Lonchura striata: one gene and its partners. The protein of the gene in region 1 interacts with the protein of each later gene in a pairwise test. Links are inferred from orthologs where the notes say so. Each region holds a gene or a part of one and is shown in the gene's direction. Other genes may lie near its edges.

What was found.
Region 2: the proteins of NIF3L1 (region 1) and DMRTB1 interact in a two-hybrid assay, tested with the Homo sapiens proteins (2 studies listed by BioGRID and IntAct). The two-hybrid records come from large-scale screens. The link is inferred for Lonchura striata from reciprocal best matches to the Homo sapiens genes NIF3L1 and DMRTB1.
Region 3: the proteins of NIF3L1 (region 1) and NATD1 interact in binary tests that used the Homo sapiens proteins (3 or more experiments, as listed by UniProt). The two-hybrid records come from large-scale screens. The link is inferred for Lonchura striata from reciprocal best matches to the Homo sapiens genes NIF3L1 and NATD1.
Region 4: the proteins of NIF3L1 (region 1) and DHPS interact in binary tests that used the Homo sapiens proteins (3 or more experiments, as listed by UniProt). The two-hybrid records come from large-scale screens. The link is inferred for Lonchura striata from reciprocal best matches to the Homo sapiens genes NIF3L1 and DHPS.

Annotation. Positions count from the first base shown.
Region 1 is NC_134610.1:27,187,833-27,195,804, reverse strand, and holds the start of NIF3L1 (NIF3-like protein 1), read left to right. Parts: upstream 1-4,956; coding exon 4,957-5,392; intron 5,393-6,087; coding exon 6,088-6,250; intron 6,251-6,723; coding exon 6,724-6,850; intron 6,851-7,200; coding exon 7,201-7,339; intron 7,340-7,972. Other genes in the region: PPIL3 (peptidyl-prolyl cis-trans isomerase-like 3), read right to left, coding at 9-135, 419-537, 920-987, 1,616-1,709, 2,478-2,552, 3,725-3,727. UniProt on the Homo sapiens protein: May function as a transcriptional corepressor through its interaction with COPS2, negatively regulating the expression of genes involved in neuronal differentiation.
Region 2 is NC_134611.1:9,254,831-9,262,479, reverse strand, and holds the start of DMRTB1 (doublesex- and mab-3-related transcription factor B1), read left to right. Parts: upstream 1-4,636; coding exon 4,637-5,120; intron 5,121-6,453; coding exon 6,454-6,686; intron 6,687-7,253; coding exon 7,254-7,398; intron 7,399-7,649.
Region 3 is NC_134618.1:15,096,592-15,104,096, forward strand, and holds the start of NATD1 (protein NATD1), read left to right. Parts: upstream 1-4,502; 5' UTR 4,503-4,559; coding exon 4,560-4,656; intron 4,657-7,505.
Region 4 is NC_134623.1:1,585,665-1,592,768, reverse strand, and holds the start of DHPS (deoxyhypusine synthase), read left to right. Parts: upstream 1-4,100; 5' UTR 4,101-4,149; coding exon 4,150-4,362; intron 4,363-4,441; coding exon 4,442-4,603; intron 4,604-4,816; exon of another isoform or gene 4,817-4,844; coding exon of another isoform or gene 4,845-4,847; intron 4,848-5,314; coding exon 5,315-5,436; intron 5,437-5,528; coding exon 5,529-5,625; intron 5,626-6,209; coding exon 6,210-6,296; intron 6,297-6,379; coding exon 6,380-6,485; intron 6,486-6,569; coding exon 6,570-6,673; intron 6,674-6,761; coding exon 6,762-6,887; intron 6,888-6,967; coding exon 6,968-7,069; 3' UTR 7,070-7,104. Other genes in the region: MCOLN1 (mucolipin-1), read right to left, coding at 652-872, 2,566-2,581. UniProt on the Homo sapiens protein: Catalyzes the NAD-dependent oxidative cleavage of spermidine and the subsequent transfer of the butylamine moiety of spermidine to the epsilon-amino group of a critical lysine residue of the eIF-5A precursor protein to form the intermediate deoxyhypusine residue.

The DNA of each region.
Region 1 (7,972 bases):
TTCTGTGGCTACAGTGCAAAAGGGTTGGCATGAATTGTAATGTCTTTAATGCGAACATCATTAAGAGGTCGATAGGTTTTCTCATTCACAGGCAGCTTCTCCAGCTCATCCAGGGTCTCCAAGCCATCAATAACTCTGCCAGAAAAACACAAGAAAATTGCCTTCTAATAATGCTTTAAATTTCACTGTTGATGTGTGTCAAAACATTTTACAGTCAAGTATCACAAGGCAGGGACTTTGCAAGCAAATGATACAAAATAAGACAACCAATACATTTTATGTGGCAAATAATGTACTTTGAAAGGGATTATTAAGCATCCACGACAGACTCTGAGAAGAAGTTCAAGCATTTGCATGTGCCCTGAAATACTCAGATCTCTCACACACTCTGACAGAGGCGTGCAGTTGAATCACTTACTTTCCAAACACCGTGTACTTCATGTCCAGGTGAGGCTGTTTGCCGTAAGTGATGAAGAACTGTGATCCATTGGTGTTGGGACCATTGTTTGCCATGGAAACTACCCCACGGACACTGTGCTGAACAAGGGGAAAAACCTCAGCATGAATACACATCTGTGAAACCAGAACTAACCTGGGCAAAGTGCTCTATGACTTAGAGCTCTTCCTCAATTATTAAGAACAAATCTTGGTTGCTAATATATTCTATCACAGTCAATAATTAGCTGCTCAGAATGGCTCTTACAGTGAAAAACTGCTTCTTTGCCCACTACATGAAAAATGCTGTCAGAAATTCTCTTTACTTCTGCTTTCTGTGATGAAAACTCTCAAATCTCACTTGCCAAGCACAGAAATGCCTGTTCCTATTATAATAATAAGCTATTGTTCTCCAACCAAGAGAAAATTATTGCCGAGAAAATTAAAATGAAAACATAAGTGCATATTGAGAGCACATAAATACCTTTAGATATTCACTGAATTCATCTTCAAACTTCTTGCCCCAGATGCTGTTACCTCCTTTCCCAGTGCCTGACAAAGAAGCACCACAGTAGAAATTACTGGATTTTCAGACTGAAAAACCCAGAAATTATGTTTGTTCTGTTACAGCATTTTACAACAAAGAGTCCAGACAGCCTGCAATTAGTCTGAGGCAGGCTCTTGATACTGCACTAAGACATAACTCTATATAAGGAATCTATTAAGTAGCAGAACAAAACACTGACACATCCTCAAATTAAATTCAGTATGAGTATGAACAGACACAACTGAATCAGCTTTTCTCCCAAACAGCTGACACCGTCTGGGACGTTTTCCCCAAATGATTTAGATGCAGCCTTTCAGGCAGAAACCACACAAAGCACATTAGTACCTGCTTCTAATTTAGTCAACAGAACCATCATATTTAGTGAAAATAGCTGCTAAAACTCAAGTTTGTAGAATGCATAATTACTTAAAACTGGGGTAATGCCTGCACTTCTGTAAGCCCTCCACAAAAAAAACCCCTCATCATAAAAAAACTCTTATCAACAATACAATAATTCTTTTATTTTTATTTTACTTACGTTTTAGTTTTAATACCCATAATTCCTTTTTATTTCCTTACATTTTATTTTTATGTACATTTTTTCCATAGAAAGACCCAGACAGAAGAATTTACCTAATGGATCCCCTGTCTGAACCATGAAGCCCTTTATATTTCGGTGAAATACGCATCCATTGTAGTAGTTACTAGCACAAAGAGCCAGGAAATTCTACAAAAATCAAACAAACCATATTAACAACTGAAAAATAGTATTATCTTACTAAAATGACAGCATTGGCAAGACCAGTGCTTTTACCTCTGCCTTGCTTTGTGTGAATTCCACAGACTTTTGCTGCAGAGTAGTCATAAACAAATCATAGATAATAAACTCCTTTGATAGTGTCACACACAAAGAATACAAAGCTTTCAGTGCAAGGCTGTCTGACTTGAGGAACAAACAAGAAGCCTAAGACATTCTCTCAAATATCATTCCCATTCAATAATTTTATTTGGCACATGTAATTTTGTAATCAATAACTTAATGCCTCAGCTTTTTCATTAAAATAAATGCATTTTATTTCAATTTCAATTTATTGCAAAAATTCAAAACTGGGGTGCCTGACAAACCGTGAGTCTCACTCTTTCAAACTAAAATCAAGTCTGTGGGGATATGAGTAAACCCATGGAAATTTGGGAATCCTAGGCTGGGTGCTGTATTTTGCCTTAAAGGCAAAGGACACTTTGGGAGATGCTGGAACTTCAAAAGAAGCACCCCTTAACTAAACCTTATCAAGAGAGAAACAGGCATGAAACTCCAGTCAGTATGACAGAGTGCACAAGTTCCATGATTGGAACAGACACTACACCAGCTTAAAATGTTGGCGTTCCATTACATGAAAAGGTAAAATTGCAAAAGCTACTTCACCTCCTTCACAGGCTTGACTATTGCTACTGCTGTTTCACCACTAGGCAATCCTACTCCTGGTGTGTGACTTACTTCACAAGTCTTTGGAGTACGCTCACAGAACAGTTCAATTTTAATATCTCCCACATCCGTATGCAGTGTGACAGCCTGAGCAAAAGGCAGAAAACAGTAAATAAATCAGCAATAAAATACTAACATACACTGTTTTATTTCCCAGTCCCATCAAGAACATAAGTAAGTTTGCACTGCATTGAAGTTTGCAGTGCAAACTGCAAGTTTCACTGTTTCAACATTTGGCTATAAGCAAGGTTACTGTCACAACCAATCCACATTTCCAGTGAAATCACCAGAAAGCACTCAGTTTCATTTAGTTTCAGGACAAATCAAGTTTGCCATGGTAATGCAGTACCTGTTGCATGCTCCACTCCAGAAATACATTATTCATTTGCCAACTCAGGGCCTACTCAGTCACTTGAAAGTAAAGGTGAAGAATCAAGTTTGTATCTATTTTGGATGGTGCACACACCGCGCTGCTTTACAACTAGAGAAGCAACTGATGCCTGCAGCCTTTTGATTAATAAGGCTAGTTCTGAATGGCAGAATGTATAATGTGCCTTCACAGATAAGTAAATCTCAAAATTTAACTTATAAGTTCTTAAGAAAAGTAAGTTACCTTCATAAAATTTAAAATCAGCTTACCCAGTGACGTAAGCAAATTTATCTCTACAGGACATATATATTACAGTGCTTCTATGGAAAGTGCTAAACTATGCAAAAACAATTACTGTGGGGATAGCTGTACAGCAAAACTAATTAAAATCAGCATCACATTGATACTGGCATACTGCTCCAAAAGTATACAAGTAAAGGAGATAGCTGTCCACAATGTCCACGAAGATCCTATAGAAGGTGTATGATCAGTTTAAGACATATATATCTATTTCTCAAATTGCTAACTTTTTAAAAGCCTCTGAGCACAGAGGTTTACATACACTGAATCAGAGGTATGTTCTTGCAACTAGACTAATGCTTCTGTGGCAAAAGAAACCAAACTAGATTATCAAATACATGCCAAAGTAGCATTAAAATCTGGGATCTCTAAAGTGAAAGCATAATGATGTGTTAGACTAATGTAAATCAACCTATTTTCCTTTTCATAGTATCTTTTTATAAGTTTGAAATGAAAACCCTGAACTTTTCATGAAAAATTACTCACAGCATCAGAGTAAAACGTGTAATCCTTTGAGACGGAGAGAAGCTATTCGCTTTCCAAGAGATGACCATTTCAGAAAACATATAAAATGTGCTTTTATTCTTACCATGCCTGCTTATCAAAATCTGAGGTAGCCTTCTATACAGCAACTTCCTGTAAACATAAGAACTTTGTTGGGTTTTTTCCTACCAACCCCCATATGGTTTTGATTCTAAAATATTTGTTGGTTACATGCTTTTCCACCACACAGTTCTAGGGTGCCATTCCAATGACTCTGTGGCTAAATTTTTGCATTGAGCAACTACACAGCATAGAAAAAATGAAAAACTACTAGAACAAGACCACTTAGAGAACGGGGAAGAGGGTAAAAACACTCGTTCCTAGGATGAAAATTCATACCAAGCAATCAGTTTTTGCAAGTATTGTGGCAGTCGGCAGAACAGCAGATGGCAGAAATTCATAGGTAAAAGCCACATGCCACTACCTAACAGATGCGTGATTTGGGGCCAACTCATGACAGCTGTGAGTGCTTGAAACAGACAGGTACCTGCACGCAACCACAGGATCAGACTTTTTAACTTTGTAATACTTTCAATTAAAGTGTTTAAAATGCCGGCAATAAAAGCGCGGCTACATAGAAGCCGAGATATATATTTAAGCGACAATAGGTTCACTATACACCCGCCCTCGCCGGTGAAGCCCCGGTCCCGTGTCCCCACCTCAACCCACCTGTCCCCGCTCCCCGTCACCCACGGCAGCCGGAGCTACCGCTCCCTCCCTGCCCAGGTACCGCCACCGAAATGCCGCGCACAGAACAGCTGGGCTCCTCCACCGGCGGCACCGCCGCCCGCCGCGCTCGGAGAACGCCTGAACCTGCCGGGGCTGACGCGGACCCAGCCCCCGCCGGGGACAAGCGGCGGCGCTCCCGCGGGCCTCCGCTCCCTCCCGGCGCTACCGAGGGGCCGCCCCAGCCGCGCTGAGCACGGCGGAAGCGGCGGAGCCGAGCGCAGGTCCCGCCCCGCCGCGCCGGCGCTGCCCCGGCGGGAGGTGAGCGAGGCCGCCGAGGAGGGAGCGCCTGTGCGGCCGGGCTCTGCGGGTCGGCCGTGCCGCGGGAAGAGGGGCGGAGCTTGAGCTCCGCGCGCTTGGTGCTGGCCAGCGGGGCGGCGTGTGCGGGAGCCCCGGGGTGGGGAGGGGCTCGGTACCGGGTGGTACCGGGTGGTACCGGGTGGTGCCGGGGGTGGGCGGGCGCAGCGTCCACAACCCGAGCGGCCGTGGCTGCTGTTTGCCTGGTGGGTTCCCGGGGCTCACGGCGGCCTGTTTGCCCCGCACAGGTCTCGCATGCTGCTGTCTGTGCCGCCGCTGCTCCGCCCGCCTCTCCACCGCGTCTGTGCCTTGGGCCGCCCGCCCGTACGCGCCCTCATGAACCTCCGGGAGCTCGTTTCTGCTCTGAATGACTTCGCATCCCCCGCTCTGGCTGAAAGCTGGGACAATGTGGGATTGCTGGTGGAACCAAGTCCTCCCCACACTGTGAACACCCTTTTCCTCACTAACGACCTCACTGAGGAGGTGATGGAAGAGGCAGTGCAGAGGAAAGCAGACCTCGTTCTTTCTTACCACCCTCCTATATTCGCACCACTCAAGCGAATAACGTGGAAAACCTGGAAGGAACGGCTGGTGGTCCGAGCCTTGGAGAACAGAATCGGGATTTATTCTCCACATACGGCGTACGATGCCATACCTCACGGAGTTAATAACTGGCTAACAAAGGGACTCGGTGAGATTCTGTTAAGAGCAAACAAGTTAAAATTATTAAAGATGTATGCTATTTTAAGTGGGATCTTTCATCATTTGCCTTCTAGCTTTTACAGGTGTGATTTGAGGATTGTTTTTATTTTTCCTAATATTTTTATGGTACTGTAACCTTAAATACATTTTAGGACATTTTTCTTGGTGGTATATACCAGATAACAACATAATAGTTTTAGATGTATGACTCTACTATTGGATGTGTCTGTAACTGGTGGCGCATATATATTGTCCACTGTAGTTGCAATTCTGATACCAATGACTTTAAATCACCACCTTGAAAGTATGAGATCTCAATATTTGCAAAGCATTTAAACTATGTGAAGTTATTTTAGATTTTTATCCTGTATTGTGGCTCACAGATTACAATAGCTGCATCTTTTCCAGTCTGTTATACAAACTAGGAACTCCTTCTGGTTTTGGACAATCCTTAGGATAAAACTGATGGCATTGAGACTGGCAGATAATACATATCCATCTTTGGACTTAAAACAGACTGTGCCTAATGGAGACAGAATGAAAAGCCTCAGTTCTAGTCAGGAAAAAAGGATTTGAGTGCAAAATTTGTACCTTTTGTGCTGCATCTCTATAAGGTATGTGCCAAATCAGTGTTAGGATACCTACCCTGCTTTATAAACCAGCAATCTTGTACTGTTTTCTCAGGCACCTGTACTTCTGTCCCACTGCATCCATCAACTGCACCAAGCTCTCCAGCTGAGGGCACTCACCGGGTAGAATTCTGTGCAGATGCTGAGCATCTGGATGCAGTGCTGTCCAAAATCAAAGACATCCCAGAGATCTCTTGTCTCACTACTCTCCCAGCCAGGTATCTGCTCCACTCTCTAATGTTGTATTCTTCCTGTTATTTGAAACAATAAGTTGCTGTAATTGTATTTTACTGTTCTAATAATTTTGTTCCTCTGTGCATTGCTGCTATGTTTTTCAGCAACTGAATAACAATCTTAAGGAATAGTTGTCCCTTTCCGGTCAATCTATGTCATGCTAAAAGGTAATAGCAACTCCAGTTTAGCATCACATAGATTAGGGGTGTTAAAAAAGAGTATTAACCAGAAATTTGATCGGGACAGGTGAGTTAAATTCCCATATTTGTTTTTTCCAAGACAAGTCTAGGCTATTACAATGCTGCCTTTTTTCCTTTCTCAGTGTTAGAACAGCCACTGGGATAAAATAATAATAATTATAATGCCAAAACTAATAATTATAATACTCTAATATAGTAATTACAATTCCAAAATTTTATCTAGCTTCTTAACAAGCACCAGGCATATCTTTCCTCAGGGTTGAAGGTCAGGAGCAAACACGAGTCAGTCTCAACTGCTCTCAGAAAGCACTGCTGGAGGTGGTGGCATTATTGTCCCAGAACAGCCTTCTTTATCACAAGACCGAGATTCTCTTACTACAGAAGGTAACAAAATCACAAAATTACTTCCTGTGAATGTATTACTTGTGTGAGCTGAATGCAGTAGTCAGTGGCATCACAGCTTTCCAGTGCTACCCCAGTGCTCCGACATACAGGCATACGGGAATTTGAAGCCACACACATTTTCCAAAGCAATGAAACTATCTATGTGGTCTGTACTAATTCTTAAATCAGTTCCAATAGCTGGTGTAGTTGATATGTTACATTTGAGAACATCACATAAATACTTTTTTGTAAAGTTCAGTGTTGCTCCTGCAAACCAAATATACTCATCCTGTTAAAGTGTGGAAAGCACATGGAGTCAACTTTCTCACGGTAATTTAAATTTTTTTCAGCCTCTTCTTCCCCATACTGGAATGGGACGCCTGTGCACCCTGAGCGAGCCAGTCTCCTTGTCAGACATAATTGAGCGTGTCAAAGGCCACCTGCAGCTCCCCCACGTCCGCGTAGCCGTGGGAGCTGGCAGGACACTCGGTAAATGGGCCTGCAAGCCAGAATGCCTGCTAGGACTGGCACTGCAGGAACACAGGGAGCATGAGTGTGTGAACAACACTGGGAAACACTGCTGCCTTTACCACGTTTACCTCCAAGAACTAGGAAGCACTGTTAAGAAATAGCATCTTAGAATTTACGGTCATGTGAAGTCTCATCTGTATTTTAATCGGATTCCATAGTACGCTGGTTGACGTGGTAGAGACTGAACAAATTGAAGGAAAGATAGCATTTTTTGTAATTTATATAATGACTAAATTTTTTATTTTCCTGCCCAGGATATCAGGCCCAAAGGTGTACTGTTTCATTTTATGTTCCCTTTTGTGACTGAATGTTAAAATTCAGAGCACTCTAAGAGTAAGACACTTTATGGTATCATGAACACAGAACTGTGTTTTGATGAAAGATAAGATAAAGAAGGTAAACTAACTCAAACAGTGGAGTCATTAGTAAGATGTGGAGTAAACATCCTCTTAATCCCAGCTACCTATCCCAATGTCCAAGGAGCACAGCTGGTAGAATTTGTGAGAGTAAATTTGTTGAGACAGAAATCTTATTAGACTGACAATTGCACTAAAAAATATATGTCACTGTCATATATGTAATAGCTTGGAA
Region 2 (7,649 bases), on another chromosome or scaffold:
TTATTTTGCATTGTTTAAGTTACTTCAGATACTCTGAAATCCAATTCAGATGTGAGGTGGAGAAATGCATTTAGAAAATGTGGGATATGTACCAGTGTTGACAATCACAAATGGAATCCTGCCCACAGCAAGTACACTTGATGTTTGTAGTGGTCTTTCAGCTGTCTCCTGCCTTATCCATCTATTAGCATTGCTTTAGGCTTGCTGACAAGGTAATATGACAATTTCAGCACAAAATAGGTGCCAAACAAAGATGACTCTAAACAGGCCACCTACTTACTGTGGAGAGAGTGACTGTTTCTGCATGAAATCCTTTTTTTGCTGTTTGGGAGAATTCAAATGTGATTTTCTGTTCTTTGTGTCTAAGATAATATGACAAGAACTATGGCTGAGGGGAAGGAGAATGAGGACTTTGGATTAAAAATGTGTTTATTTCTCTAGGCAGAAGACTGATTGACAAGCTGAGTGCTATCCAGTATAAAAGTCACTAAATTTGGGAGCTGACTGAAGTAAAATGGTGCTGTAACTAAGGCACCCCTGCAGCTGCCACAGCACTATCCAAGTGAACTATCCTTTGGGTTTTCAGTTACTCTTTTTTCTATTTATTCCTACAAAGGTGACCTTCTATAGAAACAAAAGATTTCTTCTGAAGGGATAATTATTTTCTTAGACATGGAAAATAAGCAAACAATCAGACTTCAATGATACAGTGATCTTTATTTATTGCAAACTGACTGAACATCTCCCACAGGATTTTTTTTATCATGGATCTATTTTTTTTTTTTTCTAGATAGGGATCTTTAAACATTATCACTTATTTGAGAAAAGCATCCCTGTGTTTGTGTTTGTGTGTGTGTGTGTACTTATGTCTGTCTCACTCTTTTCCCCTTAATGCATTTTATTTCTTGCTTATATGAAAGGCATATTGATGCCTCTCATATAAGAGCTCTCATAAGAGCTGCTACGTGTTTGGTTTCCTTGCTGGTGTTCATTTCTCTCCAAGTCCACCCCACCCTTCTGGAACTCATGAAATATCCAGATCACAGAATTACCAGTTTAATCAATTTTTTCTTTTCTCTTAAATAAAGATCTTGTTACAATAAACTAACAGCAGTGTTTCTAATAAAGTCTCTGCTGTTAATATTTAAGAACTGTTATATGTAAAAAAGATACTCAATTTTAAGTACTCAAGATTCATTTTAGTTGTGTTTGTTAAAGAAACCAGAAGTGCTTATATAACTTTGATACATTTTTAAGACTTTAAAATATGTATAAACTCCATCCAATTTTCTCTGATCACAGCAGAGAATTTCACCTTTTTGATACAGCAGATGAAAGTCAACATCTAATTGTGCTCTGGTTAAAACTGTTTCAAATAAAACAACAATAAAACCCCACACACCTCAGTGGAACTCCTTCTTGCACTACAGAAGACAACATTTTAAAATAAAGGAATTGATGCTGAAATAGAATTGAAAAGTAAAATCTGTGTATTTCAATTTAGAGAACTTAACTGCAACCAGATTTAAAAAAGGTTTAATCCAAACACATTTCATCCATTTCAAATTTTAAGGTAGCTAGGATATAATTATATTGCACTGTTTCTATGCTGCACTTTCCCTCACATTAAAAAAAAAAACAAAGTTTACTACAGTACAATTTCACTCTGATTAGAAAAGTTGAAAATACAGTGTACAGAAGTGCCTGGAAGAAGTTTATTCATTGTCATGTAGGCTTGTTTTGGGCAGGCTCAGCCAACCTCGTGGGCTTGTCAGCAGGGAGCTGAGCCCTGCAGCTCTGTGGCAGCCCTGATGGATGTGTGCTGCTGTGAGCACAGCAGTGAGAGGGGATTTGGTACTGCAGGTCAGCCAGAGCATGTCTGAAACTCTTTCATATTTTTTTACAAGGAGCTTCTAACTATGAGGATGCTAAATATGTTACTTCTTAAAATGATATTCTGGGACAGGTGAAGGTGAGAGTTCTTCATGGGCAGTTCTGCCTCTGCAGCTGTATCTCCACATGTCGATTATGCCCTAGCTGAGTTGTAAACTACACAGTTATAATGGAGAAGACCTGGTAGTAGTACTACTATATCAATTTTTATATCATAACTTATGACAGTCCATAATGGATACTTCAAAACTACAATGATAAAAAGGTAATTTTTGAATAGAGGATTTAACCTTCATATGTGATGTCTTAAAAATTTGAAAGATAGTCTTGATTTTTTATGTATAAGAAAATGTACTTCAAACCAAGTGTGGAAATATTTATTAATGGAGATCTCAGACTGAACAAATTTCTTGATTAAGTTTCTGTTGCTTGAAATGCCAGAACAATTTTCTTGCCACAGAAAAATTTTCTTGCCAAAAAACATTTATTGTATGAATATTAGCTGGAAAGTCTGAGAAGGAGGGGAAAAAAAATAAACCCTAATTTCCTGCTATTCACTTTTATGACAGTCTTTTGATTTGTTCCCTTTTAGCTAAGTCATTGCTTTTCCTCACTGTTCCATGTACAAAGCAAACTGCACACCAAAACCACACACTTTATATGATTCAGAAGTTGGACAGGACTAGAGATATTATTGCTATTTGTTTCAATAACATAAAGTCAGCAAGTTGCCTTCCTTTCATGTTGGCATGATAATAATTCTTATAAATGTTACTTTAATACACAATTCTTTACACATTTTATGTTCTGCTCCCACCATATGTTACATAAAATGCAAGAGAAAACTAAGTTTTGAAGAGTCTTTATTGGGCCTCATTTTCTTTCAAATATGAACAAGTAAGAAAATTATAATAGACATGAAGCTGCATCCAAACACAAATCTACACTTCATTCCAAAAGTGTATTTAGAAATTGTTCTATCTTCTCTCTGCTATGGTCTTCTTACAGTGTGATTAAGCTAACTCAAATATATATACAAAAACATAACAGGATTGGAGTAACAGAATTCTCTGAACTGCCTGCAAAAACAAGGATTTGCCTCACAAGCAAAGCAAAATGTTCACTTTTCTGCAAAAAGCAAGTGTAGTTATGTTTGAAACAAACTATATGGAGACTATAATAAATCTTGAGTGTTTAGATGAAAGTTGTTCAAAATGAAAATCCACATGACTTTGAAAGCAATTGTTTAATTAGTGAAGAAACTGGAACAGCCCATGGCTGGTAAGCCATTTTAGAAAGAGAAGGGATACATTACTGTGTATTTGAGTAAATGTCTTGAAGAATAGTATTATGTGACTCAGAACAGAAAATTACTGGGGAAAATACATGTAGCCTACCTTTCTCCCCCTCTGCTCAAGTATCCAAATGAACACAGATTGGGTATCTATGAAAAGATATAATTACAGCTTTTTAAAATGTGTCATCCATCCTCTTTCATTCTACAGCTAAATTAGCACAACCCAAGCATACAGTAAAAATATGGAGCATAAAATTAAGAATATTTTATCTGTCTATATGTAATAGAGTCCGTGTTTAGAAGGAGTACGGGAAGATCAAGGCCTTGGCAAAATCCTACTGGAAACCTGCAGGACTTAGGTGCAAAGTCTTACTGGGTCTTCTGCAAAGTGAGAAGCCTGGAATCTCGTCTGAGCTTTGGTGGGCACAGGGGCTGGCTGCTTACTGCAAAAAAGAGACTTGTTGACAAACCACACTGTTGCCAAATCCCTAAGGGGCCTGCTCTGCTGGGGCCTCACCCCCCAAGGTGTTGAAGGGTGCACCAAGGCTATCCGGGATTCTTTGCACCAAGGGAAGGGCTTCTGCCAGGTTTGTGAAACAAACTCCATTGCAGTTAGAATTGTTCCAGAGCAAGCAGATAGATTCTGCCTGGCTCTCTTGAAACTTAGTAGAAAGAGTGTCTACTACTTGGTGATTAATTTTTATCGTGTTCTCTTTAACATAGAAGCTATAGCCACCTTAAGATTTTAAAACAGCTGTTGTATAGGTAAGAAAATTTAGCAGTGTAGTGCCTTACGTTGCAAAATGAGGAGTTTTCTCCTGAAATGGGCTATTGTGTAAATCACGGGTTTGCAGCTACCAGCAGTAACAAATATCAAGTGCTTTCAAAGCAATACTAGAACTGGAGCATTCCTGTATTTCTAACTGTAAGCCTGTCTTTGTTTCCAGAGAATAAGGAATTCTGAGAAAAGGAGACAGGTCGTTGGAATGACATATGCTTTCTACCTTTGTCTTAGTAGCTTCTTTTGGAAAACAGAATGATCAAAGTGTTCTTTTTCTGCTGAGGCAGTCACTCCTCCTCATCAAGAGAAGCATGCTGCAAATTGGAAACAAAACGGGACAGCAGTCCCATGCATATTAAAACCGAATGCATGAGAGGTATGAAAGTGGGTGCAGATGTTAAAGTGCCAAAAAGGAAAATTATCTTTTAGGGCACTACTGTAGGGACATGGCATTTCTATCCGTGCACAGCGGGTCCATCCAAACCCCCCACCCCGGCGGGCAGCAGCGCAGAGCAACGTGCCCCCCGCAGCTCCCGCAGGCTCAGCCCCCCGCGGCTGGGCTTCGGCTGCCGCCCGCACCAAAGGGCCGCGGGGGTGCCCGGGGGAGCCGTGCCAGGCGCAGGGCAGGGAGGCTGCGGGACCCGGCGCGCTCCCCACCCGCTGCCATGGGCCCTCCTGCCCGCCGGGCCCGCTTGTTACATCCCCTGTCCCATATAAAGCCAGAGGGCGGGGAGGGCCTGGCGGGGGGTCTGGGCAGTCGCTGCGGTGCCATGGAGGCGGCCGAGGACAAGGCGAAGGCGCTGCGGGCACCCAAGTGCTCCCGCTGCCGCAACCACGGCTTCGTGGTGCCCGTCAAGGGCCACGCCGGGCACTGTCCCTGGAAGCTGTGCCTGTGCGAGAAGTGCTCGCTCATCACCGAGCGGCAGAAGATTATGGCAGCCCAGAAGGCGCTGAGGCAGCAGGAGACGGAGCCGGCGGTCAGGGCGGGCGCGAAGCCCGTTCCGTCGGGCGAGGGCCGTGGGGCGGCTGCCCGAGAGGACGGGGCCCCCGAGCACTGCAGCCACGAGAGGAAGACGGGCGCCCAGCCCGACAGCGGCGGCAAGGGCACGGCATGCTGGGGGCCACCGCCATCTGCCTTCAGGGAGGACGGTAAGGACCTGTCCCCAGAGCCTTTTCCCAGCATCTCCCGCTGTTCGCTTTCCCCTGTCAAAGGCGCCACTTGTGCATTTCGCTGATTCCTCAGGCTCCGGCTGCCCGGGAGCCGCTCCTGCATTCTGTCCCGCTTTCCCTCCCCGGAGGGCACGGGGCTGGCATGTCGGTTCTGCAGCCTCGTCCGCCCCCGATGGCTTCGCGCGGGGCGCAGGGCGGGAACAACGTGCTCAGCCTCGCCGCCCCTTGCGAGCTCGAAGCTTAAGCAAAGTGGCTTTTCACTGAGAGGGAGATTGATCTGGGAGTGCAGCAAAACTGGATCTGCTCTGCTTGTTTCTTTGAGTGCTGTCACAGTGTTTATAAACTCACAGGCACAAAATTACAGCAGCAAAAATGCTAAAAAGCTCAGTGATGGCATGTAAATAGGTACAGTAACTGCTGCAGCTGTCTGTAGCAAGAATTTCATGCTAGCACTGTAGAAGAAAAAGACCTTTTTGCCTTAATTCATACCTGTAACAAAAACTAAATTTGGTTGGGATAACTTGATGTAAAAGTGCATTTGGTATTTAATAGCAGGGCATGCAGTTGTATGGTCTGTCATCTCTTAAATGGCTTCCTTTAGAGTCTTTATTGTGACTTTTCTAATTTATTATAGTAACTCCATTCTATTACTATAAGAATGTTGCAGAAATTCTTACTGATGGCAGTAGTCATGAATCTGAGACTCTGGAGAGTTGCCAGACTGCAAGACAAAATGTTTGTCCTGAGAAGACTTACTTTGGACATCCGTAGTCCTAAGAGAATACTGTTACCCTTTTTAGCTTTGTTTTGTAATAAAAATAAGATTCAAGAAAAAAAGTGAAGTAACTGATTTCTGCTTCAGATTTGTTTGTGTATGAGCCTAAAACTGTGCGTGCTGTAAATTAACCTAAGAAGTGACAGATAGGACTGCGATATTAGAATGCTATAAAGTTAGAACTCGGCTATTTCTGTGGAATTTTAAGTACCACTAGAATCAAAAGTTTAGGTAGGCTGTTTTGCTCCTGTTGATGTACTGAAAGAATAAGATTCTGCAGCCAGTGCTTTACTAAGGACAAACTTCAAAGCACACAACGCAGAAAATAATGCAGAATAACTGCATTACAGTGTCATCTGCTGTACCTTTCCTTAGTTCATTAAAAAAATCACAAAATCAATTCATGGGGAGCTAAACATGAAACCAAAGGACCAGATTCTCCTGTCTGAGAGTGCAATTTTTTCCTGTAGCTACTTCTACATAACTCCATAAAATAACATGGATAATTTTATTTGTTCTTTTCTCACTGTTTCCTAGCTCAGCCTGCTTTTCCTCCAGAATACACTGTCAACCCAGAATACCTGGAGAGAGAAATCCCAAAAGTGTACCCGGGATGTTCTGGGGTATATCCTTACCACCCATTTCCCCTGGGATTTGCCATCAATGAGTCAAGCAGTGGGGAAGCACCATCACCTCCAGGGATATCACTTCAGAGAGGATTCCGACACATTCCTAGCAGCTATGTGCCAGGGAATGCAACCACTGTATCAGTGAGTAGCATGCTTTTAATTACCTGTGCTAATACTGCTTTATTTTAGCTGCCTTCTCTCTGTTGAAGTAACCATGAAGAGTCATTTCCCTTATCAGTTACTTCATACTATTTTGATACCATTGATACATTGGCAAATGATGATGTTAATAATCTGACCTGCTTTCAGTACAGTTCATCAGTTGATGCTAAGGTAGAAAAAAATCAAGACAATAAACAAAACAAACAAACAAACAAACAAAACAAACAAAAAAACCCAATAGATGCTTGTATTGAAATTCCCTGACACGTTTTAGGGGCTACTGAGAAAGAAGATGGCTGCTCCTGGTTTAAACCAACTACTCCAATGAGTTGCTAGAACAGGTGACAAGGACTTAAAAGGGTCAGTTTTCCTCTGATATGGTCTGAGAAGTTCTTGCTCCTCAGTTGCAGCACAGGCTTTCCATGTGTCAATATGTGCACTGACTTGGCAGCATATGGACAAAAACCCAGAAATGGTCTGATAATGCAGATGTATGCTGGAGAGAGTCTTTAGATACAAAGTGATCTGCTTCATGTGTTTCCACAGGTTCCAGATGGAGCTGGAGATTTCTCTCAAGGATACTACACTCCTCTGCATCAGTTCATCCCACCAGGTTTTCTGACAGGGATTCATTACATCCCAGCTCCGGTTTCACTGAACATCCTGGCTGAAACAACCAAGGAGGTACATGGTAAGAGAGAGTCATGTTAACCTGGTTTCAATATCTGAGAACAGAGATGGAAACCCAAGAGACCCTGATCCCAGCTAGTTTTGACCTCTGTGATTGAAGCCAGGCCTGAAGTCCTGACTGGACTGGGCCAGATTGTAGAGCTCTGGGAAGGGCTGACCTAGGGGAGGCAGCCTGCCATGCTTGGGCTTTCCAGCTGACAAGCACCTCAGTCTGAGGCAGATGCCAAAGGCCCCAGGACTCAGAGCTATGCC
Region 3 (7,505 bases), on another chromosome or scaffold:
GGTGACACACGGTCACGTTCCGCGGCTGCGGACAGCGGGACAGCAGCGCGGCACTCCCGGCACACGCCGGCACCGGGTCCCGGCCGTGCCCGGACACCGGCACGAGGCGACACGAGGGGACACGAGGCGACACGAGGCGACACGAGGCGACACGAGGCGACACGAGGCGACACAGCCCACGGCCGCAGTCCCAGCCCGCTCCGTCCCTCCCGGCCCAGCCCGGCGGGGGCTCCGCTGGCCCGCGGCTCCCAGCCCGGAGTTCCCGAGCAGCGGGAGCTCAAGGCAGGCAGGCGAAACTCGCGGCAAACAAACACAGCTCGCCTGTTCTTATCGCTCTCCCCACGCCAAACGCAGCCTCGCCCCGTCTCCCCCACCCCGCATCCCCACCGAGGGTTCGCAGCCCCCGGCATCGCGGCTCCGGGACCAGCGCAGAGGAAGCCGCGGGGAGCCCACGCCCGGCGGGCTGGGCAGCAGCCCCGGCCCCGCCGCCCCTCCCGAGCCCGCTCGTACCTCTGGGCAGGGACATGGCGCTGTGCGAGCCCGGCGGGCCCGGCCCCAGCGGCGCCCGCCGGTCCCGCCCGCCGCGGCCCCGCCGGCGGCCGCCCCGCCGGGCCCGCCCCCGCGCCGCCATTGGCCAGCGCCGCGCCGGGGGGCGTGGCCAGGGCCCCGCGCGGAAACGGCTCTGCGGTTCTCGGGCGCGGCTGTGAGGGGGAAGTGAGGCGGGCGGGTGCTGCTGCCCCTCAGGAGAGGTGGCCTCGGTGTCGCCGTCGTGGCCCCGGGGACGCTGCCCCGAGAGCGGCGACACTGCCGCGGGGTTGGGGCGCCGAGCATCCCCCCCTGTGCTGCTCCTCGGCCCTCACCTCCTCTGTCAGCTGAGGGTGGTCACTCACGCCTCCCGTGGGTCCCGCGTGCCGTGGGTGCCAGCGGCGTGTCCGGCTGGGAAATGGCCGGGGAGCCAAGGGAGCGGCCGGAGCTGTGTCAGGGGGGTTTGGGCTGGATATCAGGGAAAGGAAATTCCCCCCAGAAGGTGACCAGGCACTGCCCAGCCTCCCCAGGGGATGGGCACAGCCCCAAGGCTGCCACAGCTCCAGGAGTGTTTGGACAACGTTCCCAGGCATAGGGTGGGATTTGGGGGCCTGGAGTTGGACTGGATGATCCTTGTGTGTCCCTTACAGCTCAGGATGCTCTGATTCCATGGTTAATTCCTCCCTGAGTCACTGAGGAATCAACCCCTCCCAGACGTGGCACATCCTGGGGTAAGGATGCTCCCACAGCCACCCGAGCTGGGCTGCAGGCAGAAATGCTGGATACGATGTGAGAGATGCAGCTGAAAAAGCAAAAAAAATGAGATTCCAAGTGCCATTTTCTGGCTGGAATTCTTCGTGTGATCCATAAAGACCAAAGGAGGAGTTGGAGGGGTGGCAACTGCTGGCAGCACTGGTGAGATCGCAGCTGCTCTGCCACAGCCAGCTCTCAGCTTTGCAGAGAGTTTGGGATAAATCTGAGGACTGGAAAAACCTCCTCAAAGCCAGGCAGTAGAAGGGATTCGCTGCCAGAGGGAAGGAGCTGCAGGAGTTGGGATCTGTGGCTGCACGGGTGCCTCAAGCACCAAAGGCACCAGATCCAGCTGCACACTGAGGGTGGAAGAGCTCAAATGCAACATCAATTACAGGTTTTTAGCGGGGAGAGCAATTACCTTCCCCAGAGAGGTCGCAGATTCGCCACCTTTCAAGTCTTTCAACACAGACGAGGAGGAGTCTTTCCAAAAAAGCCACTGCTCTGCAGCCCAGCCGCGGGTCAGCAGCGCTGATGCAAGAGCTGTGGTGTCAGTGCAGGGCTGGGCCAGCTGAGGGGCCCTTTCTGACCTTTATCCACACGGATCTTGGAGCCAGCAGCGGGGTTTGAACTGATCCACACAGCTCTGGGCTGAGGCAGTGCTTGGGTGTGAGTTTTGGGGGGTCTGTGGCAGAGCAGAGCATCACCAGCTCTTTTACAAATGGGGAGCTGTGGGACCGGCTCTGACAGCTGGCCCTGCTGCTGGCAGCACCTGGGGTGTCACTGCGAGCTTGGGGACATGGCCCTGCTGTCCCCAAATGTGCACCATCCCCCTCCTGCATCCCTGGAGGCTGCTACATCCAGGGCTGGATGAAGCAGTGACTGGATTTGAGTCTCTGGCTCTCAATCCCAGGGGTGAGAGGGGACACACAAGTGTCACCAAGGCTGCCAGGCCTTCCAGCACAGGAGCTCTGCAGGGCACACAGGGAAATTGGGAGCACTCAGCATCCAGATCCAACAGGGTGGGAAGGCAGGGAGCACACAGACCCCCACGAGCTGTGAGGAAGGCACCAGAAGCACCCTCGAGGTCACCTCCCAGCCATGGTAGGGCTTGGGGATCTCCTGGGGGACCTCTCCACCTCTTCTGCAGCTTCCCATGGCTGCTTCTGCCTGCCCCTCCTCGTCTGAGCCGCTGTCCCAGGGAATCAGCACAGGCACAGGATCCCCATGGAGCCCGAGTGCTCACAGAGATTTTGGCAAGTTTTGCTGCAGTTTTGGCACCCATGGAAAGGCTCTCCATGCTTTCAGGGGCTGTAGGTGAACCTTTGGCTCTGGGTCAGGGCGATCACCGAGGGCAGTAAGGTGTTACACTGTGACATGAAATAACTCACAGAAGCAGGTTGGATGTAAAAGGAAAGAAAAAATAACTCAAAAAAGTAAACTTTATTTTCTGACTCTACTATATATACATTAGCAAAAATGGTAGTGGATTGGAGGGTGAAACTGCCACCTCTCCAGCTGCACTGGTCAAGCTAACAGTCTATAAATTCTCTCCACCCACAAAGAAGAATGTAAAACAGTTATTATTTACATGAACATGTGTGAGAAAACTCAGTAGAAATATGTAAATATTAGAAGGCATAGGAACTTTTAGAAGAACTTTAAAACTCTCCAAAGAACAGGGTGACAGTAAGGAGTTGCTCACCCATGTCTGGGCAAAACCTGCTTCTCCTTCCTCCTCTCTCCTAAAACTTCAGCCCTGCTGTGTCCTGAGCATCCCTGTGTGCTGGAGGGCATCAGCCCTCCCTGACAGCTCTGGGATCATGCCAGTTATCCCTCCCCTTCCTCCCTGCCACACGCCAGCCGTGCTGGGCCTGGCTGCTGCAGGCTTTGCATTCCCTGCGCTCCCCTGCTGTTTGTGCCTCCCTGCAGCAGCACACAGCTGCCAGGGAGGGGATGGGGTGAAGGACAACACCTCCTCACCAACATTCATGGAGAAGGAAGGGAATTTACCCCTCTGCCCAGCAGACACCCAGTCCTTGGGGCCAGGCTCGATGGGAGCGGGGAAAGAGCAGGAGACCAGAGCAGAAAACCAGTGCGGGGCCAGTAAAGGACTGGTAAAAAACAGTGCAGGACCAGTACAGAGCCACTACAGAACCGATGTGGGGTCAGTGTGGGACCAGTACAGAACCCGTACGGGACCAGCACAGAACCAGTGCAGAATTAGTGTGGGACTGGTACAGAACAGTACAGAACCCATGTGGGACCAGCACGGAACCAGTGCAGAATTAGCGTGGGACCAGTACAAAACCAGTGTGCAATTAGTGCAGGACCAGAACGGGACCAGTACAGAACCAGTACAGAACTCGTGCAGGACCAGTATGGGACCAGCACAGAACCAGTGTGGAATTAGTGTGGAATCAGTGTGGGACCGGTACAGAACTGGTACAGAAACCGTGTGGGACCAGTACAGAACCAGTGTGGAATTAGTGCAGGACCAGAACGGGACCAGTACAGAACTAGTACAGAACCTGTGCAGGACCAGTGCCGAACCAGCACAGAACCAGTATGGGACCAGCACAGAACCAGTGTGGAATTAGTGCAGGACCAGAACGGGACCGGTACAGAATCAGTACAGAACTCGTGTGGGACCAGTATGGGACCAGCACAGAACCAGTGTGGAATTAGTGTGGAATCAGTGCGGGACCGGTACAGAACCAGTGTGGAATTAGTGCAGGACCAGAACGGGACCGGTACAGAGCTAGTACAGAACCTGTGCAGGACCAGTGCCGACCCAGCACAGAACCAGTATGGGACCAGCACAGAACCAGTGCGGAATTAGTGTGGGACCAGTACAGAACCAGTGCAGAATTAGTGTGAGACCAGTGTGGGACCGGTACAGAACCAGTACAGTTACCTGTGCGGGACCAGTGCCGAACCAGCACGGAACCAGTGCGGAATTAGTGCGGGACCAGCGCCGAACCAGCACAGTACCAGTGACAAATCTGCACAGAACCAGTGCGGAATTAGCACGGGACCAGTACCGAACCCGCGCCGTTCCGGCGGCCGCTGGTGGCGGCGCCGCCCGCGCGGGGGCGCCTGGGCTGCCTGCGGTCCCCACGGCGGCGTTGGCGTTGCCCCTTTAAGGGCCGCGCGGCCGTACCAAAACAAAAGCGCGGCGCGGCCATTGGCTGCGGGGCGGGCACGTGCCGCACAGCTGGGGCTTCCTGCGGCCGCGGCCGCGCCGGGCCCGACCGCGCCTCGGCACCGGCACCGGCACCGCCATGGCGCACTCCGCGCCGCTCGGCCTCCTGGAGCAGGGCTGCCCCATCCAGGTGGAGCACGATCGCAAGCGGCGGCAGTTCACCGTGCGGCTCAACGGTAAGGGGCGGCGCTCGGGGCTCCCGGGACGTTACCGCTGCCCTCCGCCCTCCGCCCCGGTCCGGCCGCGCTGGCCGCTCCGGATCCCCGTTCCTCTTCAGCTCTCGCTGTTCCCCCCCTTCGCCCCACCCCACGTTGTCTCTCCCCCCTTTCCCCTCCCTGTTCTTCCTCCCCGTTGCTCTCCCCTTTTTTCTTCTTCTTCCTGCCCCTTTTTCCCGTTCTCACCGATTTCCCCCGTTTCTCCCGGTTCCCCCTCCTGCCGTGCCGCTGAGTCCCGCTGCATTTCCCCCGTGCTCTCCGCCCTGCCGCGGTGTGACCCCCCGCCCCAGCCCTTCCTGCACCCCAAAACCTTCTCGCAGGGGATGCGGCATCGCTGGGCTCCCTCGCTTGGGGTGTGTGTGCAGCCCGGTGGGGACACGGGCAGCTTGGGGGGCACTGCCCCGGTCCCCCCGGGAGCAGGTGCCTGCGGGGGATGTGGGGGTGCTGGGAACCGGGGCCCCTCTGGGGATGTTCCTTCAGGGAAACCCCAGCACGGTGGGTGCCGCGGTTCTGTAGGACCAACGACACGGATCCAAGCTGTGACAGCCACCTGTGGAGCTCTGGTGACACAGTGACCCCCAAAAAGTCCGTCACATATTGGGTGGAGTGAACAAAGAAAAAAAAAAAGTAGGTGCCACTAAAATTTCTCTGTGGTGCACTGATTCTTTCCCAGCCTTCATCTTAATGGTTAATTACAGATAGTCAACGATCCCGGCATCTCTTTCCCATCCATTTGTCATACTGAGAACTACTCTGGGTAAAACTGCCTCGCTGCCCTGCAGAAATTGCAGGGTAGCTGCCTTAAAAAAAAAAAAAAATAGCATGTAGTTCAGAAATCATAGGGAATGCAGGAGGCTTCGTCAATAAAACAACAAGAATAGTCCAGATTTTATTTTAGACTTCTCTTTCCCCCCACCCCATTTTCATTTCAACCACTAATTACAAAGTGCAGGCTGGAGGCTCGGCAGTGGTGGAGCAAGGAAGGAGGAGACAGTGCAGAGAAAACAATTTCACCAACTGCTTATTTCAGATTTCAGCCTGAGATCAAACGAGATCCCAGGTGCTGGGTCCCCACTGCCACCATCAGAGCATTGTCCCAGCCAGTGAAGTTGGTGTCTGCAGGAAATAGAGGGGACAGCCAAGGGTCAAGAATTATTAGGGAAATGTAATCTTTTATCGTGGTTTTCTGGATAAAAGCTCTGCCAGCCACACCATGGGCCCAGCAGCGTTTGGTGGCTGAGCAGGGATGAGTCGTGACTGGGGAGGGTGAACTTTGAGAGGGAGAGAATCAGCTGTGGGAGTTGTGTGTGAATCAGCACAGAAACTTCTGATTCAGCAGGGGGTCATGGCATCACAGAATCCCAGGATGGTTTGGGTTGGAAGGATCCTAAAGCTCATCTCATTCCAGCCTTGGGCAGGGACACCTTCTGTGTGCCCAGACATGGGCCAGGTTGCTCCAAGCCCCATCCAGTGTGGCCGTGGGCTCACCCAGGTGAACCCCCATGGTCAAGGTTGTGTTTTTTCTGGGAGTTCAGGGAGTCTGAGTCCTTTTTTGTGAGTTCAGCCACGCCAGGCAGCTGAGCTGAGCAGTGTCCTGCTGTGATGGTGGCCGTGCTGCTGTGCTGACTGACTAACATCCACGTGCAGTGGGTGATCCACCTCTCCTCCTCCTTGTCAGGCACTTGCTGGTAGCAGCCAAGCCCTGGAAGCTGGTCAGGAGATAACATCTCTGTGGGAGTGCGTGGCAGGGTGTTTGTTTCCTGCACTGCTCTTTGTTGCTCCTGGCACGATGAGCATCACTGGTGTGGAATGCCCTGGGAGGTTTTCCCTGCAGCAAGCAGGGAATGACAAGAAATGGGTCAGACACAGATTTTAGCATCAAAGTGACCTCCATGTCCCTCAGAGAGCACTCTTGTCCTGTGTCACTGAGCTGTGGTAGAGATGAACAGCAGTTTGTGGGCTTTCAACTTTCCTGTGATGTCCTCATTTCTGCTAAATGTCAAGTGTGGATGATACCCTGGGAAAACATGGATGCAGCAGGCACCAAGCAGCCAGACTTTGACAGCTGGTGGTTTATGGTGGTGTGATGTTGGGTAGAAAACTTTGCATGGTGATGAATTTCTGGAAATCCCTGGAGCAGGAGGCCTGAGATAGTGAAAGCTGTGAACTGCTTGTGAAAGTGTTCGTTTTCAGCATCATCCTGTGCTTGCCTCTGTGCCCCTGTGTGACCTCGTGGCAGGACTTCCTCCTTGTGCACAAGGGAGATGAATTGCACTCGATTTTTCTGGGGCTTGCCCTGTCTTTCCTTTCCCTGCTGGTTCCTCCCTTCTCTCCCCTCATTGCTGCAGTAGCTGCTGAAACTCTGATAGGAGCAGCTGCTTCACTTGAACACGTTCCCTTTCCCCTTGCATCCCAAATGAAGGAGCATTTAGAAGCTGAAAGTAAAGCTGATTATAACCAGACCTCACTGAGCCTCGTTATCCCTGGAGAGGAAGGCAGAAAGACACCCAACTGGATTTGTAATGGGCTAGGATGTGACTAACAGCCTGAGCCAGCCAGAAACCTCCCTGTGCAGAGACTCTCTTGGAAAACATCAATTTGTCAAAGCTAAAAGCTTCCATGGGAATCATATAGGCTGATTTTGTCAGGAATAGTTGGGTGTTTCTTTGGCTCTGAGACAAAATTTCAGGTCAAAACAAGAAACCCAAAAGGACCCCCCATGCCAGAGCAGTTGGCTGGTTGGTGCAGCTGCTGGCACAGATGTTTGGGGCAGGAGAAGAGCTTTTAGCAGCAGCTGCTGTCACTTCTTG
Region 4 (7,104 bases), on another chromosome or scaffold:
CCCCAAAACAGTGTCACTCCATGCTTGGGGACAAAGGCCACCACGGTCAGGGTCTGTCCCACCCTGGTGACACCACCGTGTTTCACCCCATGCTTGGGGACAAAGGCCACCGCTGCCATCAGCCCCTGTCCCACCACGGTGACGCTGCCACGCTTTGTCCCAGGACACTCCGGCGTCCCCTTCAAAGTGTCCCCATGTCCCTGTGTCCCCTCCCTGCTGTCCCCAAGTCCCCATGCCCCCTCCCCAGTGTCCCCATGTCCCCGTGTCCCCTCCCTGCTGTCCCAGCCCCTTGTGCTGCCATCCCCACTGTCCCTGCTGTCCCCAAGTCCCCGTGCCCCTTCCCCTCTGTCCCCACTGGCCATCCCTGCTGCCCACCCCCACTGTCCCCTGTGCCACCCCGCTGTCCTCACTCCCTGTCCCCTGTGCCACCCCGCTGTCCCCTCTGCCACCCCGCTGTCCCCACTCGCTGTCCCCTGTGCCACCCCGCTGTCCCCTCTCCCTGTCCCCTGTGCCACCCCTGTGCCACCCCGCTGTCCCCACTCGCTGTCTCCACTCGCTGTCCCCTCTGCCATCCCCACTGTCCCCACTCGCTGTCCCCTCTCCCTGTCCCCTGTGCCACCCCGCTGTCCCCGTGCCACCCCGCGGTGCCACCTGCACGGTGACCAGGACGATCTTGGCCAGCTGCAGCGCGAGCTTCACGGGCCGCCTGCCGCGGGCGCGGTACTTGTCGCAGGGGCTCATGAAGAAATACTTGAGGCGGCGCCGCAGCTCCTCCTCCTCCTCCTGCTCCTCCTCCTCCTGCTCCGCTCCCGGGACCGGCGCCGCCTCGGCCGTGCCGTACCCGGGGCCGCGGCTCAGCAGCCGCTCGGTCTCTGGGGACAGCCGCGGTGTCACCTCGGTCCGGTGCCCGCCCTGCCCGGTGTCACCCCTGCCCGGTGTGCCCGGTGTCACCGCTCCGGTGCCCACCCTGCCCGGTGTCACCCCTGCCCGGTGTGCCCGGTGTCACCGCTCCGGACCCGCTGTGCCCGGTGTCACCCTCTGCCCGGTGTGCCCGGTGTCACCGCTCCGGTGCCCACCCTGCCCGGTGTCACCCCTGCCCGGTGTGCCCGGTAACCGCTCCGGTGCCCACCCTGCCCGGTGTCACCCCTGCCCGGTGTGCCCGGTGTCACCGCTCCGGTGCCCACCCTGCCCGGTGTCACCCCCTGCCCGGTGTGCCCTGTGCCCGGTGTCACCGCTCCGGACCCGCTGTGCCCGGTGTCACCCCCTGCCCGGTGTGCCCTGTGCCCGGTAACCACTCCGGACCCGCTGTGCCCGGTGTCACCCCTGCCCGGTGTGCCCTGTGCCCAGTAACAGCTCCGGACCCGCTGTGCCCGGTGTCACCCCCTGCCCGGTGTGCCCTGTGCCCGGTAACCGCTCCAGCGCCCACCCTGCCCGGTGTCACCCCCTGCCCGGTGTGCCCTGTGCCCGGTAACCACTCCGGTGCCTGCCCTGCCCGGTGTCACCCCCTGCCCGGTGTGCCCTGTGCCCGGTAACCGCTCCCAACCTCCTGTGCCCGGTGTCACCCCCTGCCCGGTGTGCCCTGTGCCCAGTAACAGCTCCGGACCCGCTGTGCCCGGTGTCACCCCTGCCCGGTGTGCCCGGTAACCGCTCCGGTGCCCACCCTGCCCGGTGTCACCCCCTGCCCGGTGTGCCCTGTGCCCGGTAACCGCTCCGGTGCCTGCCCTGCCCGGTGTCACCCCCTGCCCAGTGTGCCCTGTGCCCGGTAACCACTCCGGACCCGCTGTGCCCGGTGTCACCCCCTGCCCGGTGTGCCCTGTGCCCGGTAACCACTCCGGACCCGCTGTGCCCGGTGCCACCCCCTGCCTGGTGTGCCCTGTGCCCGGTAACCGCTCCGGTGCCCACCCTGCCCGGTGTCACCCCCTGCCTGGTGTGCCCTGTGCCCGGTGTCACCACTCCGGACCCACTGTGCCCGGTGTCACCGCTGTCCCCGTGTCCCCCCGGACCCGTTAACCCTACCCCGGCCGGTTCCCGGTAATCCCGACCTCGTGTCCCGCTTGTCCCGTTCTCATTCACGGTCCCTGTCCCCGTTCCCGGTCCCCATTCCCGGTCCCATTCCCGGTTCCTGTCCCCGTTCCCTGTCCCCATTCCCGGTCCCATTCCCGGTCCCGATTCCCCGTCCTCGTTCCCTGTCCCCATTCCCGGTTCCATTCCCGTTCCCTGTCCCAATTCCCGTTCCCGTTCCCGCTCCCCATTCCCGGTCCCCATTCCCGGTCCCCATTCCCGTTCCCGGTCCCCATTCCCGGTCCCATTCCCGGTCCCATTCCCGGTCCCATTCCCGTTCCCGGTCCCCGTTCCCGGTCCCATTCCCGGTCCCATTCCCGTTCCCGGTCCCCATTCCCGGTCCCCATTCCCGGTCCCCGTCCCCGTTCCCGGTCCCCGTTCCCGGTCCCCGTTCCCGGTCCCGCTCCCCGTTCCCTGTCCCCGTTCCCTGTCCCCGTTCCCGGTCCCCGTTCCCTGTCCCCGTTCCCGGTCCCCGTTCCCGGTCCCCGTTCCCGGTCCCCTCACCGGACGCCGCCGCCATCGCTCCGACCCCGTCCCGCCCCTCACGTGACCGGGCAAACCCCGCGCTGCTCCCGCCCACCAATCCCAGCGCGCGATGACTATCGGATTTGCATAACCCCGCCCCTCGCCCCGGCCCCGCCCACTGCCGCCTCCGGGCGCGGTTCGCTCCCAGTTCCTCACAGTGTTCCCAGTAAGGGCGGTGCTGGGAGGGAAAGCGCTCCCAGTTCCTCACAGTGTTCCCAGTTCCCTCCCAGTGCTCCCAGTAAGGGCGGTGCTGGGAGGGAAAGCGCTCCCAGTTCCCTCCCAGTGCTCCCAGTTCCCTCCCAGCGCTCCCAGTTCCCTCCCAGTGCTCCCAGTAAGAGCGATGTTGGGAGGGAGAGCGCTCCCAGTTCCCTCCCAGCGCTCCCAGTTCCCTCCCAGTGCTCCCAGTAAGAGCGATGTTGGGAGGGAGAGCGCTCCCAGTTCCCTCCCAGTGCTCCCAGTTCCCTCCCAGCGCTCCCAGTTCCCTCCCAGTGCTCCCAGTTCCCTCCCAGTGCTCCCAGTTCCCTCCCAGTGCTCCCAGTAAGGGCGGAGCTGGGAGGGAAAGCGCTCCCAGTTCCCTCCCAGCGCTCCCAGTAAGGGCGGTGCTGGGAGGGAAAGCGCTCCCAGTTCCCTCCCAGCGCTCCCAGTTCCCTCCCAGCGCTCCCAGTTCCTTCCCAGCGCTCCCAGTTCTCTCCCAGCGCTCCCAGTTCCCTCCCTCCCTCCTCGACAAAGCTGCCAGCCTGTAACCCTAACCCTAACCACAACCATTCCACTGGTCCCAGAAATCACAGCTTTCACACCATGGGACCTGACCCACTGCCCCTCCACTGGCACCTTCCCGAAGCATTCCGCTGCATTCCAGGAATACTCCGCATTTTCAGCGGGTATCCCGTCTGACCCTCATCCTGACCTTAAAAATACACCAAGGAATTCTAAAACAGCTATTAGGAAGATGTAACAAATCCCAAAAAGCCTTCAAAAATCCCCTAAATATTCCTAATAGTCCTCAAAAAAAAAAAAAAAAAAAAGAAAGAAAAGAAAAGAAAAGAAAAGAAAAGAAAAGAAAAGAAAAGAAAAGAAAAGATAACTCAAGGAAGCCTGCTCAGTCTCCAAACCCCTTCCTGTTGCTCTCTAGCCCACAGATGTCATCCCTATCTTTTTGCAGCGGGTCCTGTTGTCCTCTGAGGGTTCTGGCTCCTTTCCCCCTCGGCACTGTCCAAATTTCGGGGTTCCCTCGGTGTTAACGGCGCCTTTTCGCATCCGCCACCTTCTCGTCCCTCCGCGGCCGCCGTCCTTTTAAGATGGCAGCGCGCGGCTGTACGGCAAAGGCGAGACGGGCGGGCTGAGCAAGATGGCGGCGCGCTGCCGTACGGCACGGGGCTGTACGGCACGGGGGGGAGGCGTGGCCCAAGATGGCGGCGCGCTGCCGTACGGCGCGGGGCTGTACGGCACGGGGGGGAGGCGTGGCCCAAGATGGCGGCGCGCTGCCGTACGGCGCGGGGCTGTACGGCACGGGGGGGAGGCGTGGCCCAAGATGGCGGCGCGCTGAGCGGGCCCGGCCGAGCCATGGCGGCACCGGGAGAGGCACCGGGAGAGGCGCCGGGAGAGGCGCTCCGGGCCGTGCTGCGGCCCAGCGGGGCTCTCCCGGCCGAGGCTCTCCCGGTGCGCGGCTACGACTTCTCGGGAGGCGCGGACCACGCGGCGCTGCTCCGCTCCTTCCGCACCACCGGCTTCCAGGCCACGAGCTTCGCGCAGGCGGTGGCGGAGATCGAGCGGATGGTGCGGGAGATGGGGGCGCGGTGGTACCGGGACGGGGATCCGGGCTCGGCCCGAGCTTCCCGGGGCTTCCTTCCCGCAGATCGCGGCCAAGCTGGAGCCGCTGAGCGCGGAGCAGCGGGAGCGAGCGGCCATGGCCGGGCCGCGGCCGCCCTCGGGCTGCACCATCTTCCTGGGCTTCACCTCGAACCTGGTCAGCTCCGGCGTCAGGGAGAGCATCCGCTACCTGGTGCAGCACGGCATGGTGACAGCCTGGGGACAGCCTGGGGACATGGGGACAGTCTGGGGACATGGGGACAGGGACAGGGAGAGCATCCGCTACCTGGTGCAGCACGGCATGGTGACAGCATGGGGACAGGGGACAGGGACAGGGGACAGCCTGGGGACATGGGGACAGCATGGGGACATGGGGACAGGGACAGGGGACAGCATGGGGACATGGGGACAGGGACAGGGAGAGCATCCGCTACCTGGTGCAGCACGGCATGGTGACAGCCTGGGGACAGCCTGGGGACAGTGTGGGGACAGGGACAGGGTGGGGACATGGGGACAGGGACAAGGGACAGGGAAGTCCCTGGGGTCCCTGTGAGGTTCCAGGAGGGGTCAGGGGGGTCCCTGTGAGGTTCTGGGATGGTCAGGGGTGTCCCTGGTGTCTCTGTGATGTTCCAGGGGAGGTCAGGGGGGTCCCTGGCATCCCTGTGAGGTTCTGGGGGGGTCCCTGTGAGGTTCTGGGATGGACAGGGGTGTCCCTGGTGTCCCTGTGAGGTTCTGGGGGGGTCCCTGTGAGGTTCTGGGATGGACAGGGGTGTCCCTGGTGTCCCTGTGAGGTTCTGGGGGGTGTCCCTGGTGTCCCTGTGAAGTCCTGGGGGTGTCTCTGGTGTCTCTGTGAGGTCCTGGGGCGGGTCAGGGGGGTGTCCCCAGGTGTCCCCCAGGTGCTGACCCCCTCCCTGGCCAGGTGGACGTGCTGGTGACCACGGCCGGGGGGGTGGAGGAGGACCTGATCAAGTGCCTGGCGCCCACCTACATCGGGGACTTCCAGCTGCGGGGCCGGGACCTGCGGCACAACGGCATCAACAGGTCCTGGGGGTGGGCGTGGGGGGCTGGGACCCCCTTGGGGACACCCCGGGGACACCTCAGGGTCACCTCGGGGTGGCCTCGGGCTCCCTCAGGATCGGGAACCTGCTGGTGCCCAACGATAACTACTGCAAGTTCGAGGACTGGCTGATGCCCATCCTGGAGACGATGGTGGACGAGCAGGACACGCAGGTGAGGGGTGGGGGACCCCCCAAATCGGGACCCCACAGTGCTGGGAAGGGGCTTTAGGGGGTACCTGGATAGCTGGGGGGGATTTTGGGGGGGTCCTGGATAGCTGGGGTGGGATTTTGGGGGTCCCTGGACACCTAGGGTGGGGTTTAGGGGATCCCTGGACACTTAGCGTGGGATTTTAGGGGGTCCCTGGACACCTAGGGTGGGATTTTGGGGGTCCCTGGACACCCGGGGTGGGATTTTGGGGTTCCCTGGACACCCGGGGTGGGATTTTGGGGGTCCCCAGACACTTAGCGTGGGATTTCAGGGGGTCCCTGGACACCTGGGGTGGGATTTTGGGGCTCCCTGAATACCTGGGGTGGGATTTTGGGCATCCCTGAATATCTGGGGTGGGATTTTGGGGTTTCCTGGACACCTGGGGTGGGATTTTGGGGGTCCCTGAATATCTGGAGTGGGATTTTGGGGTTTCCTGGACACCTGGGGTGGGATTTTGGGGGTCCCTGAATATCTGGGGTGGGATTTTGGGGTTTCCTGGACACCCGGGGTGGGATTTTGGGGGTCCCTGCTGAGCCGGGTCCCCGCAGGGCGTGCGGTGGACGCCGTCCCGGATGATCGCCCGGCTGGGCAAGGAGATCAACAACCCCGACTCCATCTGCTACTGGGCCCAGAAGGTACCGGGGGGTGGGGGGGACACTTTTGGGGTGACATTTGGGGGGCACTGGGGGGGTGTCACCGCGTCCCCCCCCTTTGGCAGAACAACATCCCGGTGCTGAGCCCGGCGCTCACCGACGGCTCCCTGGGCGACATGATCTTCTTCCACTCCTACAAACGCCCGGGGCTCGTGCTGGACATCGTGGAGGGTAAGTGGGGCGCCCCACCGGATTTTGGGGTGCCCTGAGGGGCTCCCTGAATCCCCCCAACACCGAAACCTCGTCGACCCGCAGACCTGCGCCTCATCAACACCCAGGCCATCTTCGCCCGCAAAACCGGCATGATCATCCTGGGCGGGGGTCTGGTCAAGCACCACATCGCCAACGCCAACCTCATGGTGAGAGTGGGGGACCCCCCAACGACGGGGAGGGGGTTTTTGGGGACCCCCGAGGCGGGGCCGGGGGTCTCACCCCGGGTGTGCGCAGAGGAACGGCGCCGATTTCTCCGTCTACGTCAACACGGCGCAAGAGTTCGACGGCTCCGACTCGGGCGCGCGGCCGGACGAGGCCGTGTCCTGGGGCAAGATCCGCGTGGACGCCACGCCCGTCAAGGTGGGGGGCGATTTTGGGGGGATTTGGGGGGATTTTGGGGGGTTTCCTTCCCCTCCCGTCACCCTGCTGCTCTCGCTCAGGTCTACGCCGACGCCTCGCTCGTGTTCCCGCTGCTCGTGGCCGAGACGTTCGCGCGGAGCGCCGACGCTTTCGGGGGGCCGGCGGCGACCCCCGAGGCGTGAGGGACCCCCCAAAGCCTGGGGACCCTCAAGAACTG